4 linked regions of the Saccharomyces cerevisiae S288C genome follow. The gene in region 1 interacts genetically with each later gene. Each region holds a gene or a part of one and is shown in the gene's direction. Other genes may lie near its edges.

The links.
Region 2: mutations in IRA2 (region 1) and ALD6 together harm fitness more than expected from each alone (negative genetic interaction), as found in Saccharomyces cerevisiae (3 studies listed by BioGRID).
Region 3: mutations in IRA2 (region 1) and IDH2 together harm fitness more than expected from each alone (negative genetic interaction), as found in Saccharomyces cerevisiae (3 studies listed by BioGRID).
Region 4: mutations in IRA2 (region 1) and PPH3 together harm fitness more than expected from each alone (negative genetic interaction), as found in Saccharomyces cerevisiae (4 studies listed by BioGRID).

What each region holds. Positions count from the first base shown.
Region 1 is NC_001147.6:169,103-174,887, forward strand, and holds the start of IRA2 (Ras GTPase activating protein IRA2), read left to right. Parts: upstream 1-1,967; coding exon 1,968-5,785. Other genes in the region: ATG19 (Atg19p), read left to right, coding at 1-872. UniProt on the Saccharomyces cerevisiae protein: Inhibitory regulator of the Ras-cyclic AMP pathway. Stimulates the GTPase activity of Ras proteins.
Region 2 is NC_001148.4:430,749-435,111, forward strand, and holds ALD6 (aldehyde dehydrogenase (NADP(+)) ALD6), read left to right. Parts: upstream 1-1,839; coding exon 1,840-3,342; downstream 3,343-4,363. Other genes in the region: protein translocase subunit TIM50, read left to right, coding at 1-621; YPL062W (uncharacterized protein), read left to right, coding at 1,147-1,551; MFM1 (Mfm1p), read left to right, coding at 3,775-4,363.
Region 3 is NC_001147.6:578,199-582,217, forward strand, and holds IDH2 (isocitrate dehydrogenase (NAD(+)) IDH2), read left to right. Parts: upstream 1-2,051; coding exon 2,052-3,161; downstream 3,162-4,019. Other genes in the region: GTPase-activating protein BAG7, read left to right, coding at 366-1,595; SIA1 (Sia1p), read right to left, coding at 3,615-4,019. UniProt on the Saccharomyces cerevisiae protein: Performs an essential role in the oxidative function of the citric acid cycle. Also binds RNA; specifically to the 5'-untranslated leaders of mitochondrial mRNAs.
Region 4 is NC_001136.10:595,282-599,400, forward strand, and holds PPH3 (phosphoprotein phosphatase PP4 catalytic subunit PPH3), read left to right. Parts: upstream 1-1,874; coding exon 1,875-2,801; downstream 2,802-4,119. Other genes in the region: trehalose-phosphatase TPS2, read left to right, coding at 1-1,302; putative DNA-dependent ATPase RAD55, read left to right, coding at 3,187-4,119. UniProt on the Saccharomyces cerevisiae protein: Forms the histone H2A phosphatase complex in association with the regulatory subunits PSY2 and PSY4, which dephosphorylates H2AS128ph (gamma-H2A) that has been displaced from sites of DNA lesions in the double-stranded DNA break repair process.

The sequences.
Region 1 (5,785 bases):
GTAGAGAAGACGCACACGAAGATCCCGTATCTCCAAAGGCTGGTTCCGAAGAAGAGATAAGCCCTAATTCCACCTCTAATGTGGTTGTGTCAAGAGAATGCTTGGATAACTTCATGAAACAACTCCTTAAGTTGGAAGAATCGTTAAATAAGTTGGAATTGGAGCAAAAGGTCACAAATAAAGAACCTAACCACAGAATAAGCGGTACGATTGACATACCAGAAGATAGGTCCGAACTAGTGAACTTTTTCACAGAGTTGAAAACAGTCAAACAACTTGAGGACGTTTTTCAACGTTACCATGACTATGAGAGGTTATCACAAGAATGTGACAGTAAGACGGAAATCGCCTCTGACCATTCGAAAAAGGAAACTAAAATAGAAGTGGAACCCCCAAATGAGCGCTCATTGCAAATCACAATGAACCAAAGGGACAATTCATTGTATTTCCAGTTGTTTAACAACACAAACTCTGTTTTGGCAGGCAACTGCAAACTGAAGTTTACTGACGCTGGCGATAAGCCAACCACGCAAATTATTGACATGGGTCCTCATGAAATAGGAATAAAGGAGTACAAGGAATACCGATACTTTCCATACGCACTTGATTTAGAGGCCGGCTCCACTATCGAGATTGAAAATCAGTATGGAGAAGTGATCTTCTTGGGCAAGTATGGCTCTTCTCCAATGATTAACTTAAGGCCACCTTCAAGATTATCTGCAGAAAGTTTACAGGCATCCCAAGAGCCATTTTACTCCTTTCAAATCGATACGTTACCAGAACTGGATGACTCTAGTATCATCAGTACATCCATTTCACTCTCTTATGACGGTGACGACAATGAAAAAGCCCTGACTTGGGAAGAACTCTAGGTCAAACTCTATTTTTATACAGCAATGAGTACCTTTTCACATACACATAAATATATTAAATATAATAAATACAATAAATATAAAATAACCCTTTTCGAAACTCTTTACTTCCTAAGGCCTCTCATTACTTATCACCTAGCATCATGCTCTTCATACATGCCATCTACTTTCAAACGATATACGGCTAACCAGAAAAGTACGGACAATCAGGGACGAGCAGGGACATGACGCCTTCCGCACAGATCCCAGAGAAAAGCAGGGAAACAAGAAAATAAGAAAACAAGAAAAACAGTAGTTACCCTTGTAAGTGTCATCCACAACAGAACCAATACTCTTACTCTTCCGCTCATTCCCCGCAGAATGATAGAACTATTCTAAATCCCCTTGCCTTGCTTGGCCTTGACTTGGGTTGGGACTTGGACCTCTAGAACCGATGTGCCTTCAAACATCTTAGCGAGATAAGAGTCTGCCATTAATGCATCGAGCCAATATCTTGGACTAGTACGAGGTTCACGTAGCCTTTCTTGCACGGCACCAGCGTCCCACCCCAAGTTCTTTGCTATACTGACCGCCTTACACATTTTAGTGTGATTCCAACCCAAAGTAGCTCCTCAAAAAGGGTCACCCGATCGGTGAATCAATCCGCGGCGCAGAAATGTTCGTAGAGCTCTCGTTTCTTCTAGAACGCTCCCTTGATGAAACGAAAATTTCCATCACAATAAAGCTCGCACGCCTTTTTGAAAACCCCAAGCTTTGCTGTGTCTTCTTGTGAAAAGTTTTGCCCAACGATTATCTATTCTACATATAACCGGGGAGTTAAGCACATCCTATTGCCCTACATTCTCTCCGCTTACTTCATTGTCTAGAGCTCCTGGGAAACAAAAGACCGAAAAAGCGAAAACAAAATCAGAACAAGGCTTAAGTACTTTTTCACCAATTGTAGCAAACATTTAACCACATTTTAGCACACTAGCATATAGCATTGTCCTCTGTTATTCGTTTTGCTTTTCTCCTTTAGTGTTACTTTTCCCCCAACGTTACACCATTTTTTGATATCAACTAAACTGTATACATTATCTTTCTTCAGGGAGAAGCATGTCCCAGCCCACTAAGAATAAGAAGAAAGAACACGGGACCGATTCCAAGTCATCCCGCATGACTCGGACGTTGGTTAATCATATTCTTTTTGAAAGAATTCTCCCGATCCTTCCGGTGGAGTCTAATCTAAGTACCTATTCGGAAGTGGAAGAGTATTCCTCATTCATTTCATGCAGATCTGTGCTCATTAACGTTACCGTTTCCCGAGATGCAAATGCTATGGTGGAAGGCACCTTGGAGTTGATAGAATCGCTTCTTCAAGGGCACGAAATCATTTCAGATAAGGGTAGCAGTGACGTTATTGAATCAATACTGATTATACTAAGATTGTTAAGTGATGCGCTAGAGTATAATTGGCAAAATCAAGAAAGCCTTCATTACAACGACATTTCGACTCACGTAGAACATGACCAAGAACAGAAGTACAGACCAAAGCTTAACAGTATTCTGCCCGACTACTCGTCGACTCATTCCAATGGCAACAAACACTTTTTCCACCAGAGCAAACCTCAGGCACTGATACCGGAACTGGCATCGAAATTGCTTGAGAGTTGCGCGAAGTTGAAGTTCAATACAAGAACTTTGCAAATTTTACAAAATATGATCAGTCATGTTCATGGAAACATTCTAACGACTTTGAGTTCCTCGATTCTTCCCCGCCACAAATCCTATCTGACAAGGCACAACCATCCTTCTCATTGTAAAATGATTGACTCTACTCTAGGCCATATTCTCCGATTTGTAGCGGCTTCCAATCCGTCCGAGTATTTTGAATTTATCAGAAAGAGTGTGCAAGTGCCCGTAACACAGACACACACGCATTCACACTCCCATTCACACTCTTTGCCATCTTCCGTTTATAACAGCATAGTGCCCCACTTTGATCTTTTCAGCTTCATCTATTTAAGCAAGCATAATTTTAAGAAATACTTGGAACTCATCAAAAACTTATCGGTGACGTTAAGGAAAACGATTTATCATTGCCTACTTTTGCATTACAGCGCCAAAGCAATAATGTTTTGGATAATGGCTAGGCCTGCGGAATATTATGAACTCTTCAACTTATTAAAAGATAATAACAATGAACACTCGAAATCCTTAAACACGTTAAACCATACACTTTTCGAGGAGATCCATTCGACTTTTAATGTGAATAGCATGATAACCACCAATCAAAATGCTCATCAAGGCTCATCTTCCCCTTCGTCCTCCTCGCCATCGTCACCACCTAGCTCATCATCATCGGATAACAACAATCAAAACATAATAGCAAAATCCTTAAGTCGTCAGCTTTCTCACCACCAGTCATACATTCAACAGCAGTCTGAAAGAAAACTACATTCTTCATGGACTACAAACTCTCAATCCTCTACTTCACTGTCATCTTCAACGTCTAATTCAACAACAACTGATTTCTCTACTCACACTCAACCAGGAGAATATGACCCTTCCTTACCAGATACTCCCACGATGTCTAACATCACTATTAGTGCATCTTCATTATTATCTCAAACTCCAACTCCAACAACACAATTGCAACAGCGGTTGAACTCAGCAGCTGCAGCCGCCGCCGCAGCTGCTTCACCATCGAATTCCACCCCAACTGGATACACAGCAGAGCAACAAAGTCGCGCTTCATACGATGCACACAAAACTGGCCATACTGGTAAGGATTATGACGAACATTTTTTGTCTGTCACTCGTTTGGATAATGTTTTGGAGTTATACACGCACTTTGATGATACTGAGGTACTACCACACACATCCGTACTGAAGTTTTTAACTACTTTGACAATGTTCGATATTGACCTTTTTAATGAATTAAACGCTACATCATTCAAATATATTCCTGATTGTACTATGCATCGTCCAAAAGAAAGAACAAGTTCTTTCAATAATACTGCACACGAGACAGGTTCCGAAAAGACTTCGGGTATAAAACATATTACACAAGGCTTAAAGAAATTAACTTCTTTACCTTCCTCAACCAAAAAAACTGTAAAATTTGTGAAGATGTTGCTAAGAAATTTAAATGGGAATCAAGCTGTATCAGATGTTGCCCTCTTAGATACAATGAGGGCCTTACTATCATTCTTTACAATGACTTCTGCGGTCTTTCTCGTGGATAGAAACTTACCCTCAGTACTTTTTGCCAAGAGACTCATCCCCATAATGGGGACAAATTTAAGCGTCGGTCAAGACTGGAATTCAAAAATAAATAACAGTTTGATGGTTTGTTTGAAAAAAAACTCCACCACGTTTGTTCAATTACAATTAATATTCTTCTCTTCAGCTATTCAATTCGATCATGAATTATTACTGGCACGTCTGAGCATCGATACAATGGCCAACAATTTAAACATGCAGAAGCTATGCCTTTATACTGAAGGATTCAGGATATTCTTCGACATACCAAGTAAGAAGGAATTGCGGAAGGCAATTGCGGTTAAAATTTCTAAATTTTTCAAAACATTATTCTCCATTATAGCAGATATTCTTTTACAAGAATTTCCGTATTTTGATGAGCAAATCACCGACATAGTTGCTTCCATTCTTGACGGTACAATTATCAATGAGTATGGTACGAAGAAACATTTCAAGGGGAGCTCACCCTCTTTATGTTCGACAACCCGGTCAAGATCAGGATCTACATCTCAAAGTTCAATGACACCAGTTTCTCCGCTGGGACTGGATACTGATATATGTCCAATGAACACCCTGTCTTTAGTTGGTTCAAGTACTTCAAGAAATTCTGACAACGTTAATTCATTAAACAGTTCACCAAAGAACTTGTCTTCTGATCCATACTTGTCACATCTTGTGGCCCCAAGAGCGCGTCATGCTTTAGGTGGGCCATCTAGTATTATAAGGAATAAAATACCGACTACATTGACTTCACCTCCAGGAACGGAAAAATCTTCACCAGTACAACGTCCGCAAACGGAAAGCATCAGTGCCACACCAATGGCCATAACAAATTCTACTCCATTATCGTCGGCAGCATTCGGAATTCGATCGCCTTTGCAGAAAATAAGAACGAGGCGTTATTCCGATGAAAGTTTAGGAAAATTCATGAAATCAACAAATAATTACATTCAAGAACATTTGATACCAAAAGATTTGAATGAAGCAACTCTTCAAGATGCTAGAAGAATAATGATTAATATTTTCAGTATTTTTAAGAGACCGAATAGTTACTTCATCATTCCTCACAATATAAACTCGAATTTACAATGGGTTTCGCAGGATTTTAGAAATATTATGAAACCGATTTTCGTCGCCATCGTAAGTCCGGATGTAGATTTACAGAATACTGCTCAATCATTCATGGATACCTTATTATCGAATGTTATTACTTATGGTGAATCAGATGAGAATATCAGTATTGAAGGGTATCATCTTCTTTGCAGTTACACTGTAACATTATTTGCAATGGGCCTTTTCGATTTGAAAATTAATAATGAAAAGCGTCAAATTCTCTTGGATATAACTGTCAAGTTTATGAAGGTTAGATCACATTTAGCAGGGATCGCGGAGGCCTCACACCACATGGAATACATAAGTGATTCTGAAAAACTCACCTTTCCGCTGATTATGGGGACTGTTGGTAGGGCCCTATTTGTTTCATTATACTCTAGTCAACAAAAAATTGAAAAGACTTTAAAGATTGCTTACACAGAGTATCTTTCTGCAATCAATTTTCATGAGAGGAATATTGATGATGCTGATAAAACTTGGGTTCATAATATTGAGTTTGTAGAAGCGATGTGTCATGACAACTACACAACTTCTGGTTCAATTGCTTTCCAAAGGAG
Region 2 (4,363 bases), on another chromosome or scaffold:
AAAGACGGTGTGCACATTAAGGATCTGTCAAAATTGAATAGAGATTTGAGTAAAGTAATCATTATTGACACTGACCCTAACAGTTACAAATTGCAACCTGAAAATGCTATTCCAATGGAGCCATGGAATGGTGAAGCTGATGACAAATTAGTAAGATTGATTCCATTTTTGGAGTACCTTGCCACTCAACAAACCAAGGATGTTAGACCAATCTTGAACAGCTTTGAAGACAAGAAGAACCTAGCAGAAGAATTTGATCATCGTGTGAAAAAATTGAAGGATAAATTTTACGGAGATCATAAATCTGGTGGCAACTGGGCAATGACGGCACTAGGTCTCGGAAATTCCCTGGGCGGCAGCACCAAGTTCCCGCTCGATTTGATTCATGAAGAAGGACAAAAGAACTATTTAATGTTCATGAAGATGATTGAGGAAGAAAAGGAAAAAATTAGAATACAGCAGGAGCAAATGGGCGGGCAAACATTTACGCTGAAAGACTATGTTGAAGGTAACTTGCCTTCGCCAGAAGAACAAATGAAAATACAATTGGAGAAGCAGAAGGAGGTAGACGCCTTATTTGAAGAGGAAAAGAAAAAGAAGAAGATTGCTGAATCCAAATAATTTTCATGTAAACCCTCTTCTCATGTATCTACGTATCTATGTGTGTATGTAAATGTACCTGTACACTCCCCACACCCTCATTTTGTTACTGTCATGTGAATAAAACTTATGTATATTGCTAACTTACTACCACTGCACCTCCTAACATCACCATACTACGTACAAACACGCCTATTTATTTTTTCTATGTTAAATTTTAACGATGTAGACACACCTAATGATCTGATGCGCTTTGCATATCTCATATTCCTTCACTAGCATAAAAATCCAAAAAAAAAGAATATTTAGGCCGAATGGAATTATTCGTAACGTCATACGAAAAAAGTTTCAATTCGTACAATGCCTGGCATGTTCATTCGAATATAAGGCCGCCGCCTTCCAGTCAGGGTAGCCAAAAGTATAATCCCGGGTGGAAACTAAACTAAAAACCGTACTCACAACTTTCCGCGGACGCTAACAGACAAATAGACACACTATCAGGTCAGGAACTGCCGTCACATACGACACTGCCCCTCACGTAAGGGCATGATAGAATTGGATTATGTAAAAGGTGAAGATACCATTGTAGAAGCAACCAGCACGTCGCCGTGGCTGATGAGGTCTCCTCTTGCCCGGGCCGCAGAAAAGAGGGGCAGTGGCCTGTTTTTCGACATAAATGAGGGGCATGGCCAGCACCGAGACGTCATTGTTGCATATGGCGTATCCAAGCCGAAACGGCGCTCGCCTCATCCCCACGGGAATAAGGCAGCCGACAAAAGAAAAACGACCGAAAAGGAACCAGAAAGAAAAAAGAGGGTGGGCGCGCCGCGGACGTGTAAAAAGATATGCATCCAGCTTCTATATCGCTTTAACTTTACCGTTTTGGGCATCGGGAACGTATGTAACATTGATCTCCTCTTGGGAACGGTGAGTGCAACGAATGCGATATAGCACCGACCATGTGGGCAAATTCGTAATAAATTCGGGGTGAGGGGGATTCAAGACAAGCAACCTTGTTAGTCAGCTCAAACAGCGATTTAACGGTTGAGTAACACATCAAAACACCGTTCGAGGTCAAGCCTGGCGTGTTTAACAAGTTCTTGATATCATATATAAATGTAATAAGAAGTTTGGTAATATTCAATTCGAAGTGTTCAGTCTTTTACTTCTCTTGTTTTATAGAAGAAAAAACATCAAGAAACATCTTTAACATACACAAACACATACTATCAGAATACAATGACTAAGCTACACTTTGACACTGCTGAACCAGTCAAGATCACACTTCCAAATGGTTTGACATACGAGCAACCAACCGGTCTATTCATTAACAACAAGTTTATGAAAGCTCAAGACGGTAAGACCTATCCCGTCGAAGATCCTTCCACTGAAAACACCGTTTGTGAGGTCTCTTCTGCCACCACTGAAGATGTTGAATATGCTATCGAATGTGCCGACCGTGCTTTCCACGACACTGAATGGGCTACCCAAGACCCAAGAGAAAGAGGCCGTCTACTAAGTAAGTTGGCTGACGAATTGGAAAGCCAAATTGACTTGGTTTCTTCCATTGAAGCTTTGGACAATGGTAAAACTTTGGCCTTAGCCCGTGGGGATGTTACCATTGCAATCAACTGTCTAAGAGATGCTGCTGCCTATGCCGACAAAGTCAACGGTAGAACAATCAACACCGGTGACGGCTACATGAACTTCACCACCTTAGAGCCAATCGGTGTCTGTGGTCAAATTATTCCATGGAACTTTCCAATAATGATGTTGGCTTGGAAGATCGCCCCAGCATTGGCCATGGGTAACGTCTGTATCTTGAAACCCGCTGCTGTCACACCTTTAAATGCCCTATACTTTGCTTCTTTATGTAAGAAGGTTGGTATTCCAGCTGGTGTCGTCAACATCGTTCCAGGTCCTGGTAGAACTGTTGGTGCTGCTTTGACCAACGACCCAAGAATCAGAAAGCTGGCTTTTACCGGTTCTACAGAAGTCGGTAAGAGTGTTGCTGTCGACTCTTCTGAATCTAACTTGAAGAAAATCACTTTGGAACTAGGTGGTAAGTCCGCCCATTTGGTCTTTGACGATGCTAACATTAAGAAGACTTTACCAAATCTAGTAAACGGTATTTTCAAGAACGCTGGTCAAATTTGTTCCTCTGGTTCTAGAATTTACGTTCAAGAAGGTATTTACGACGAACTATTGGCTGCTTTCAAGGCTTACTTGGAAACCGAAATCAAAGTTGGTAATCCATTTGACAAGGCTAACTTCCAAGGTGCTATCACTAACCGTCAACAATTCGACACAATTATGAACTACATCGATATCGGTAAGAAAGAAGGCGCCAAGATCTTAACTGGTGGCGAAAAAGTTGGTGACAAGGGTTACTTCATCAGACCAACCGTTTTCTACGATGTTAATGAAGACATGAGAATTGTTAAGGAAGAAATTTTTGGACCAGTTGTCACTGTCGCAAAGTTCAAGACTTTAGAAGAAGGTGTCGAAATGGCTAACAGCTCTGAATTCGGTCTAGGTTCTGGTATCGAAACAGAATCTTTGAGCACAGGTTTGAAGGTGGCCAAGATGTTGAAGGCCGGTACCGTCTGGATCAACACATACAACGATTTTGACTCCAGAGTTCCATTCGGTGGTGTTAAGCAATCTGGTTACGGTAGAGAAATGGGTGAAGAAGTCTACCATGCATACACTGAAGTAAAAGCTGTCAGAATTAAGTTGTAATGTACCAACCTGCATTTCTTTCCGTCATATACACAAAATACTTTCATATAAACTTACTTGGTCTTACGTCATAAATAAATATGTATACATATAAATTAAAAAATTTGGTTTTATATTTTTACAAAAAGAATCGTTTACTTCATTTCTCCCTTTTAAGCGATACAATCCATGAAAAAAGAGAAAAAGAGAGAACAGGCTTGTGCCTTCTTTAAAACATCCCACACAAAATCATATTGAATTGAATTTTACATCTTAAGCTAGTGTACAACAACTGCTATATCCAAAGAAAACTAACGTGGACCGCTTTTAGAGTTGAGAAAAAGGTTTGAAAAAAATAGCAATACAAAGACTTGTTTCATATATAAAATACAGGGAGCACATTGAGCTAATATAACATAAACACTGCGAACCAATTCCAATCAAAAGGTACACATGAGAGCATTCCCCCGAGTACTGCCATTTCGCCATCAGAGATCATATAATAACATCCTTCTTCGAACAGTAAGGCTTTTTGGTTCATCACTTTCTTCTTTTGATTTCTCTAGGCAAATGCCTAAGGTGGACCCTGACAATACCGCTGCAATGCTACTACAGAAAAACTTGATCCAAAGAAACAACATGCTCTATGGGTATGGATCAGGGACAATACGATGTACTTTGCTAGACTCAACTGGACGAGCCAAATCACCATTAGTAGAGATAAAACGTGAGGATCTAGTATCAAAACATGGCTTGTTGCCCAGAGATCTACGTAAAATTGAAAAATCAAGGAAGAATGACTTAGTCCCTAGTTTGCTCGTGCGAGAAAATTCCATACTAATCAGTTTACTTACTGTGAAAGCCCTAATTAAGCCTGATATGGTTATTATCTTCGATTCAGCCGGCAGTGGAATAACTTTAAACTCAGAAGCTCACAAGGATTTTATTAACGATATGAAATTGAGACTAAAAAATCAAGAAACAAGCGAGCTAAATAGCGATCCACTTCCTTATGAATTCAGAGCTTTAGAAACGATCTTCA
Region 3 (4,019 bases), 410 kb from region 1:
GGCCGATACTTCTAGAGGCGCACTAACAGAAGCACCTCAGCCCCTGCAGGTGAAAGAAAGAGGTAATTAATTTTCCGGTTACTTACTTTCTCTCGCTATTGGGGAAAGCGTTGGTTCGAGGCGTTGAGGTCGAAGACAATCATTGTTTTCTTCTTATTTAAGTACATCTTTAGAAGAAAATTACACAACTGGAATGAGTAAATCAATACTTGCTTTGTGTTCCCATTGTTAGATACTCTTGTTTTAGCATGTGATAGCAGTATATAATATAACCTGCAAAATAATCGAAACGCGTACACAGGAAAGAGTACATAAATAACCATAGTATATTTCTGGACATATCTTATTACACAACATAAAATAGAATGTTTAACATGAATCTACTTTCTACACCTTCTTCTGAAGAGGGTTCTCCACAGAATAGGTCATCTTCAATGTCTTCTGTTGAGGGCAAGAAGGATAGGGACACCTTTACTAATTTGCAAAACGAATTTGATGGTAAAGTATTTGGCGTCTCACTCGAGGAATCACTGAAAGTTGCTCAAGAGGAAGTAATTATCCAAAAAAGTACAAATGAAATTGGTTCCATACCGGTGGTAATAGCAAAAAGTGGGAAATACCTAAAAGAGAATGCATTAGACACAACAGGAATTTTCCGTATTGCGGGAAGCAATAAACGTGTTAGAGAGCTACAAGCTGTTTTCTCTAAACCGCCCGATTATGGTCGTAAATTTGAAGGATGGTGTGATTTCAATGTTCATGACATTGCAACTTTATTAAAAAGATATTTGAACTCATTAAGTGAGCCTTTGGTTCCCCTAGCATTATACGACATTTTTAGAAATCCAATATTAGAAAACCCAAAAATAAATGAGCACAAAGAACAAATCATTAAGGACTACGAAGATATTTATATGCTCTTACCACAACAAAATCGCCATTTAATACTTTATTTAGCCGCGCTCTTGAATTTATTTGCAAGAAATGAAAAGAAGAATTTAATGTCAGCAAGCAATTTAGCGGCCATCGTACAACCCTCACTTTTGTCTCATCCCAAGGATGAAATGTGCCCGAAAGAGTATGAGGCTTCCAGAACTGTCATCGAATTCCTCATACTACACGCTTCAGATATAATACCGAATACGGAAAAAGCGAATAAGGACACCATGCCGCATGCAGGAACAGTAGCAAAGTTTAACAACATTACCGTTCCTGAAATGGCTATTGACTCCGATGAAGAAGATTTTGTGCACCCTTCAATAGATGACCATATGCTTCCAAGGTCACGTGCACTTTCTGACTCCAACAATTTTACCATACATCATCATCATCATCATCATCATGCACTGTTTCCTAGCCCAATAGATTTTGATAACAATGGGCTTTCTGTACCGAGATCCTTTAAAGGTAGAACATTGAGTGCAGAGTCCCTTTCTCCCAGACTTAGTAAATTACTTGGGAACGTTGGAAACAGCAGCAATACTGGCATCAAAGACCCTACAGAAAGAGTTCCTAGAGGTGAACATAAAACCAAACACAAACAACGACAGTCATGGTTGAGAAGACTCACTAGCCCTTCTAGAACGCAGCCTTAGCTTCCTAAGCACTGTGATCTGCTAGTCGATTCCGAGGTTCGGCGAAGAAATTGTCGTTGCCCCGCCAGGGGCCTTTTGCGATACTCGGCGCTTCTTTCAGCAATCTCGGTCCGCATCTCGGCAAGGGGGGGCATGACACGGGCCGCTCTGGTTGGTCAGTTCCTATTTTCTGTAACTTCCATTGTTTGGTTAAAGAATATATAAGTTATTGAAAAGCTCATAGGTCCCTTATTATAGGCCCTAAGGTTTTAGTTTCTCATCATAGTCATATCAGAAAAACCCTCCTTCTAAAGTTTTCCTCTTTTCTTATTTCTTTTTCATTTATTATTCATATTTATATAAATATATATTCCAAGTGCATGACATTATTGGATACACTTTTTCTGAACCTGAATTACCTTGGTAGATAATAAGATACAGATCGGGAACGAACAACAATTATAATATTTTTTAATAATGTTGAGAAATACTTTTTTTAGAAACACCTCGAGGAGGTTTTTGGCTACTGTAAAGCAACCTTCAATCGGAAGATATACCGGCAAACCTAACCCTTCTACCGGCAAATACACGGTCTCGTTCATTGAAGGTGATGGTATCGGACCTGAAATTTCCAAGTCTGTAAAGAAAATCTTTAGTGCAGCAAACGTCCCCATAGAATGGGAATCTTGTGATGTTAGCCCTATCTTTGTCAACGGATTAACGACCATTCCTGACCCTGCCGTACAATCTATCACAAAAAACCTGGTTGCACTAAAAGGTCCACTAGCTACACCTATTGGTAAAGGTCACAGATCTTTGAATTTGACATTGAGAAAAACATTTGGGTTATTTGCCAACGTTCGTCCCGCAAAGTCTATTGAAGGTTTTAAGACCACTTACGAAAACGTTGATTTAGTTCTTATCAGAGAGAATACCGAAGGTGAATATTCTGGTATCGAACACATAGTTTGCCCTGGCGTTGTTCAATCTATTAAACTGATCACAAGAGATGCCTCTGAGCGAGTCATTAGATACGCTTTTGAATATGCAAGAGCCATCGGCAGACCAAGAGTTATTGTGGTACATAAATCTACTATCCAGAGATTAGCTGATGGTTTATTCGTTAATGTTGCCAAAGAACTATCCAAAGAGTATCCTGACCTTACTTTAGAAACTGAACTTATTGATAACAGTGTGTTAAAGGTGGTCACCAACCCATCTGCTTACACAGACGCTGTTTCTGTTTGTCCAAATCTATACGGTGATATCTTGTCCGACTTGAACTCTGGTTTGAGCGCCGGTTCTTTAGGTTTAACTCCATCTGCCAATATTGGTCATAAAATCTCGATCTTTGAAGCTGTCCATGGCTCTGCCCCTGATATTGCCGGTCAAGATAAAGCGAATCCAACTGCCCTACTTTTATCTTCAGTAATGATGTTAAACCACATGGGTCTAACGAATCATGCTGACCAAATTCAAAATGCAGTATTGTCTACTATCGCATCAGGTCCAGAAAACAGAACAGGTGACTTGGCTGGTACTGCTACTACTTCATCATTCACTGAAGCAGTCATCAAGAGATTATAAAAGTCCTATTCTTTTCCCTCTCAGGTTTTTTCACGCCTTGAAAACAAATGACTATCCGTTTAATATAATGATTTCTGAAAGATTATGAAGTAAAAAAAAGCAAAATGCTTAGATATATAATATATACATACAATAAAAATTCCGTATCTACTCCAAACTTCTATGGCTTTGTCCTCAATGTGTTCTGATGTTTATTTAATAGCCTGAAGTTTTTATTAAGTATGTATACTTTTCGATATTTATTCTTTTAATAATGCTACAGGAGACCATAAGTGATAACTCAAAATGTCCCTCAGTGGACTTGTAAACCAAAAAAAAAAAAAAAGAAAAAGAATTAAATATATTATGTGTAAAAAGAAAACACCACCGTGTGTTATGTATATTTTGTTTATGTCTATCTATCATCTATCCTGCTGGCAGTCAATGTTCACCTTACAAAATTAATCATTGAAATTATTGCTTCCCCTTATAGATGTACTGATAATCGTAAACCTCGTCAACAAGATTGCTATTCCTCTTCCACGAAGTTATTTCGTCCAAAATATCATCCAAGTTAAATAATCTAACGGTTGGATATATACCTTGGATTCTCGGCAAGCCTATACCAGCGGACCCACCGTAACATAACCACATCTCATTTTTTGACTGTAAGCAACAGTCATTATTATGTTCATGTCCGCAACTGACACCCTTTATATTCCAAAGACTCAGGATATCAAGGAAGCTTTTGTAATGTTTGCCATTGATCGTCATTGAAACTTGTCCTCTAGACCTTGGCGTATCTACTGTTAAGGTAGACCTCTCATTATACTGCCCAATAATAGGAAATAAACCATGAGGCCTATATTCCGATAATGG
Region 4 (4,119 bases), on another chromosome or scaffold:
TCGAACTTTTTATGCTACGGAAATCCATTGATCTTAAGTGAGTTTTCTGGCTCTAGTAACGTATTGAAAGATGCCATTGTGGTTAACCCATGGGATTCGGTGGCCGTGGCTAAATCTATTAACATGGCTTTGAAATTGGACAAGGAAGAAAAGTCCAATTTAGAATCAAAATTATGGAAAGAAGTTCCTACAATTCAAGATTGGACTAATAAGTTTTTGAGTTCATTAAAGGAACAGGCGTCATCTAATGATGATATGGAAAGGAAAATGACTCCAGCACTTAATAGACCTGTTCTTTTAGAAAATTACAAGCAGGCTAAGCGTAGATTGTTCCTTTTTGATTACGATGGTACTTTGACCCCAATTGTCAAAGACCCAGCTGCAGCTATTCCATCGGCAAGACTTTATACAATTCTACAAAAATTATGTGCTGATCCTCATAATCAAATCTGGATTATTTCTGGTCGTGACCAGAAGTTTTTGAACAAGTGGTTAGGCGGTAAACTTCCTCAACTGGGTCTAAGTGCGGAGCATGGATGTTTCATGAAAGATGTTTCTTGCCAAGATTGGGTCAATTTGACCGAAAAAGTTGATATGTCTTGGCAAGTACGCGTCAATGAAGTGATGGAAGAATTTACCACAAGGACCCCAGGTTCATTCATCGAAAGAAAGAAAGTCGCTCTAACTTGGCATTATAGACGTACCGTTCCAGAATTGGGTGAATTCCACGCCAAAGAACTGAAAGAAAAATTGTTATCATTTACTGATGACTTTGATTTAGAGGTCATGGATGGTAAAGCAAACATTGAAGTTCGTCCAAGATTCGTCAACAAAGGTGAAATAGTCAAGAGACTAGTCTGGCATCAACATGGCAAACCACAGGACATGTTGAAGGGAATCAGTGAAAAACTACCTAAGGATGAAATGCCTGATTTTGTATTATGTTTGGGTGATGACTTCACTGACGAAGACATGTTTAGACAGTTGAATACCATTGAAACTTGTTGGAAAGAAAAATATCCTGACCAAAAAAATCAATGGGGCAACTACGGATTCTATCCTGTCACTGTGGGATCTGCATCCAAGAAAACTGTCGCAAAGGCTCATTTAACCGATCCTCAGCAAGTCCTGGAGACTTTAGGTTTACTTGTTGGTGATGTCTCTCTCTTCCAAAGTGCTGGTACGGTCGACCTGGATTCCAGAGGTCATGTCAAGAATAGTGAGAGCAGTTTGAAATCAAAGCTAGCATCTAAAGCTTATGTTATGAAAAGATCGGCTTCTTACACCGGCGCAAAGGTTTGAAACACCCTTTTTAACGAAATGGTTATGACTAGACAGACATCTTACGTCTTACTCCTTCATGCTTTATTTTTTTCTTTGTATTGTATTTGAACAGTCAATATGTGGTGTTGCGACGAAGGCATATATATAATAGTCTCAACCCACCATTTTCGAAGATTTACATACACATTATATTTTTATAAACTTCCAATATGTAATAACTTTATATGATATGTAACTTCTCACTATTATCCTTACTATTAAACGGTTTTTAATAAATATCATTGTTCTTTGTTTTATTAATGAGAAAAAGAAATTTAATACAATGTCCGGCGGGAAGAAAAAAAATCGATGAATTAATTGAAAAAAAGTATCTTTATCATGTGAACTGAGGAGAAGAACGGCATCTCGAAAAGAGCACGTCGAAACAGCGGTAGGTAAAAGAGGGTACTACCAGAGGTCTTTTCTCTTTATACGTTAACCTCTCAGCTTTTTCTTTTGCAATTCAGGACACTTTAACTTGTAGTCACACGCTAGTCCACGTAGCAAAGTAAAACAGCACGAAAAAAGTGATTACAAATTTCAAGGGAGATATGATGGACTTAGATAAGATTATAGCATCACTGAGAGACGGAAAACATATTCCTGAAGAAACCGTTTTTAGGCTATGTTTAAATTCACAGGAACTATTAATGAATGAAGGCAATGTAACACAAGTCGATACACCGGTTACAATATGCGGTGATATACATGGCCAATTACACGATCTACTAACGCTCTTCGAAAAGAGTGGTGGTGTAGAGAAAACAAGGTATATTTTCTTGGGCGATTTTGTGGATAGGGGATTTTACTCATTGGAGAGTTTTTTACTTTTACTATGTTACAAATTAAGATATCCTGATAGGATTACTTTAATTAGAGGCAATCACGAAACCCGGCAAATTACTAAAGTATACGGATTTTACGATGAAGTAGTAAGAAAATATGGTAATAGTAACGTATGGAGGTACTGCTGTGAAGTTTTTGATTATTTATCATTGGGGGCAATAATAAACAATAGCATATTCTGTGTTCATGGTGGATTATCTCCGGATATGACCACGGTTGATGAAATACGAACAATAGACAGGAAACAAGAAGTTCCACATGAAGGTGCTATGTGTGACTTATTATGGAGCGACCCCGAAGACGTTGACACATGGTCATTATCACCAAGAGGTGCTGGATTTCTTTTCGGTAAAAGAGAAGTTGATCAATTCTTAGAGAAAAACAACGTTGAGTTAATTGCTAGAGCTCATCAGTTAGTGATGGAAGGTTACAAAGAAATGTTCGACGGTGGATTAGTGACAGTCTGGTCGGCACCGAATTACTGTTATCGTTGTGGTAATGTAGCAGCTGTATTGAAGATAGACGACGATTTGAATCGTGAATATACAATTTTTGAAGCTGTTCAGGCACAAAATGAAGTCGGAAATGCTATAATTCCAACCAAAAAATCTCAAATGGACTATTTCTTATAAATTTTTAACAGGCACTCTAATTGTCAAGTGCATTTTTCTTTTTTTCTTCATAATGCAATAAAGGAAAAAAAATTGTAATATTACATACTTCTTTTCACATCTTAGCTAATTAACAATATGGCTTTTGAATACTAATATATACCCAGCTACCGTTTCTTCTTTTATTTTTTATTCCTTTTTTTCTTCAGTAGAATATGTTATAGATGCGGAGGTCCCCTAAGTTCTTCACGTGTTCTCTTCTCATCGCGTTTGATATGAAAAATAGAAAAAAATACATAGTAGCATGACTAACTAATAATAAGCTCCGCTATCAAAGATGTCAAGTACATTAAGGAAAGCTTTTAGATAAGGAAAAGAACTTATTAATAATATATAATATGAAAATATGTCGCTTGGTATACCACTTTCCCAATTAATAGTAGAAAGTCCAAAGCCATTAAGTAGCGGCATCACAGGATTAGATGAGATATTAAACCTGGGATTCCAGGCAAGGTCGATCTACGAAATATTTGGGCCTCCGGGCATTGGCAAGACTAATTTTGGCATTCAATTGGTGTGTAATTCGTTAGAAGGCATACAACAATCGGAAATAAACGACGATAAAATTCTATGGATAGAAACATTTCAAGAAATGCCCATAAACATACTAAGAGAACGCTTTCAAAAATTTAAAATCGTGGAAGAAAATGTGAAGCGGGTCCGAATAACGAAATTTGGACAGCTATTATATTTCTTCCAGAATTTGTTCAAATTATCTCAAAGTGTGCGATATAAACTAGTTATAATTGATGGATTTTCTCAATTAGTCTGCGATCATCTGTGTACACTAAGTAAAAGAGGCGGCGGAATGATAGATAAAACTATACACGAGTTAAAATGTCGACATTTGATATTAATTTTTACGGTAATGACCAAATACACACATTCCACGGGTTCGACAATAATAGTTTTAAATGACTGTATGAACACCGCCTTCCAATCAAACGAATTCGAATCCTTGGAAGAATACTACGAAATTTTAGACGACGGATCTAACTTCTTTGTCAACTCTAACAACGAAAGGCGTAAGAACAATGTACATATATTGAAAAGCGCGCTCGTTGCCAATATCGCTATGGGAAGCAAGGATTCCACTTGGGAAGTATTTCTAAGAGACAGGATCGGCCTTTTTAGGGATTGGAATGAACAAGTGGACGAAACCGTTTTCGTGAAAAGCAAAAGAGTGAAGGCGTCATCCTCGCAGAGTAACGAGGGATGTACTACCATCAAAGAAATGAGAATAAACAAACGAAACTTTGAAAACTTGAGAATAGCTATT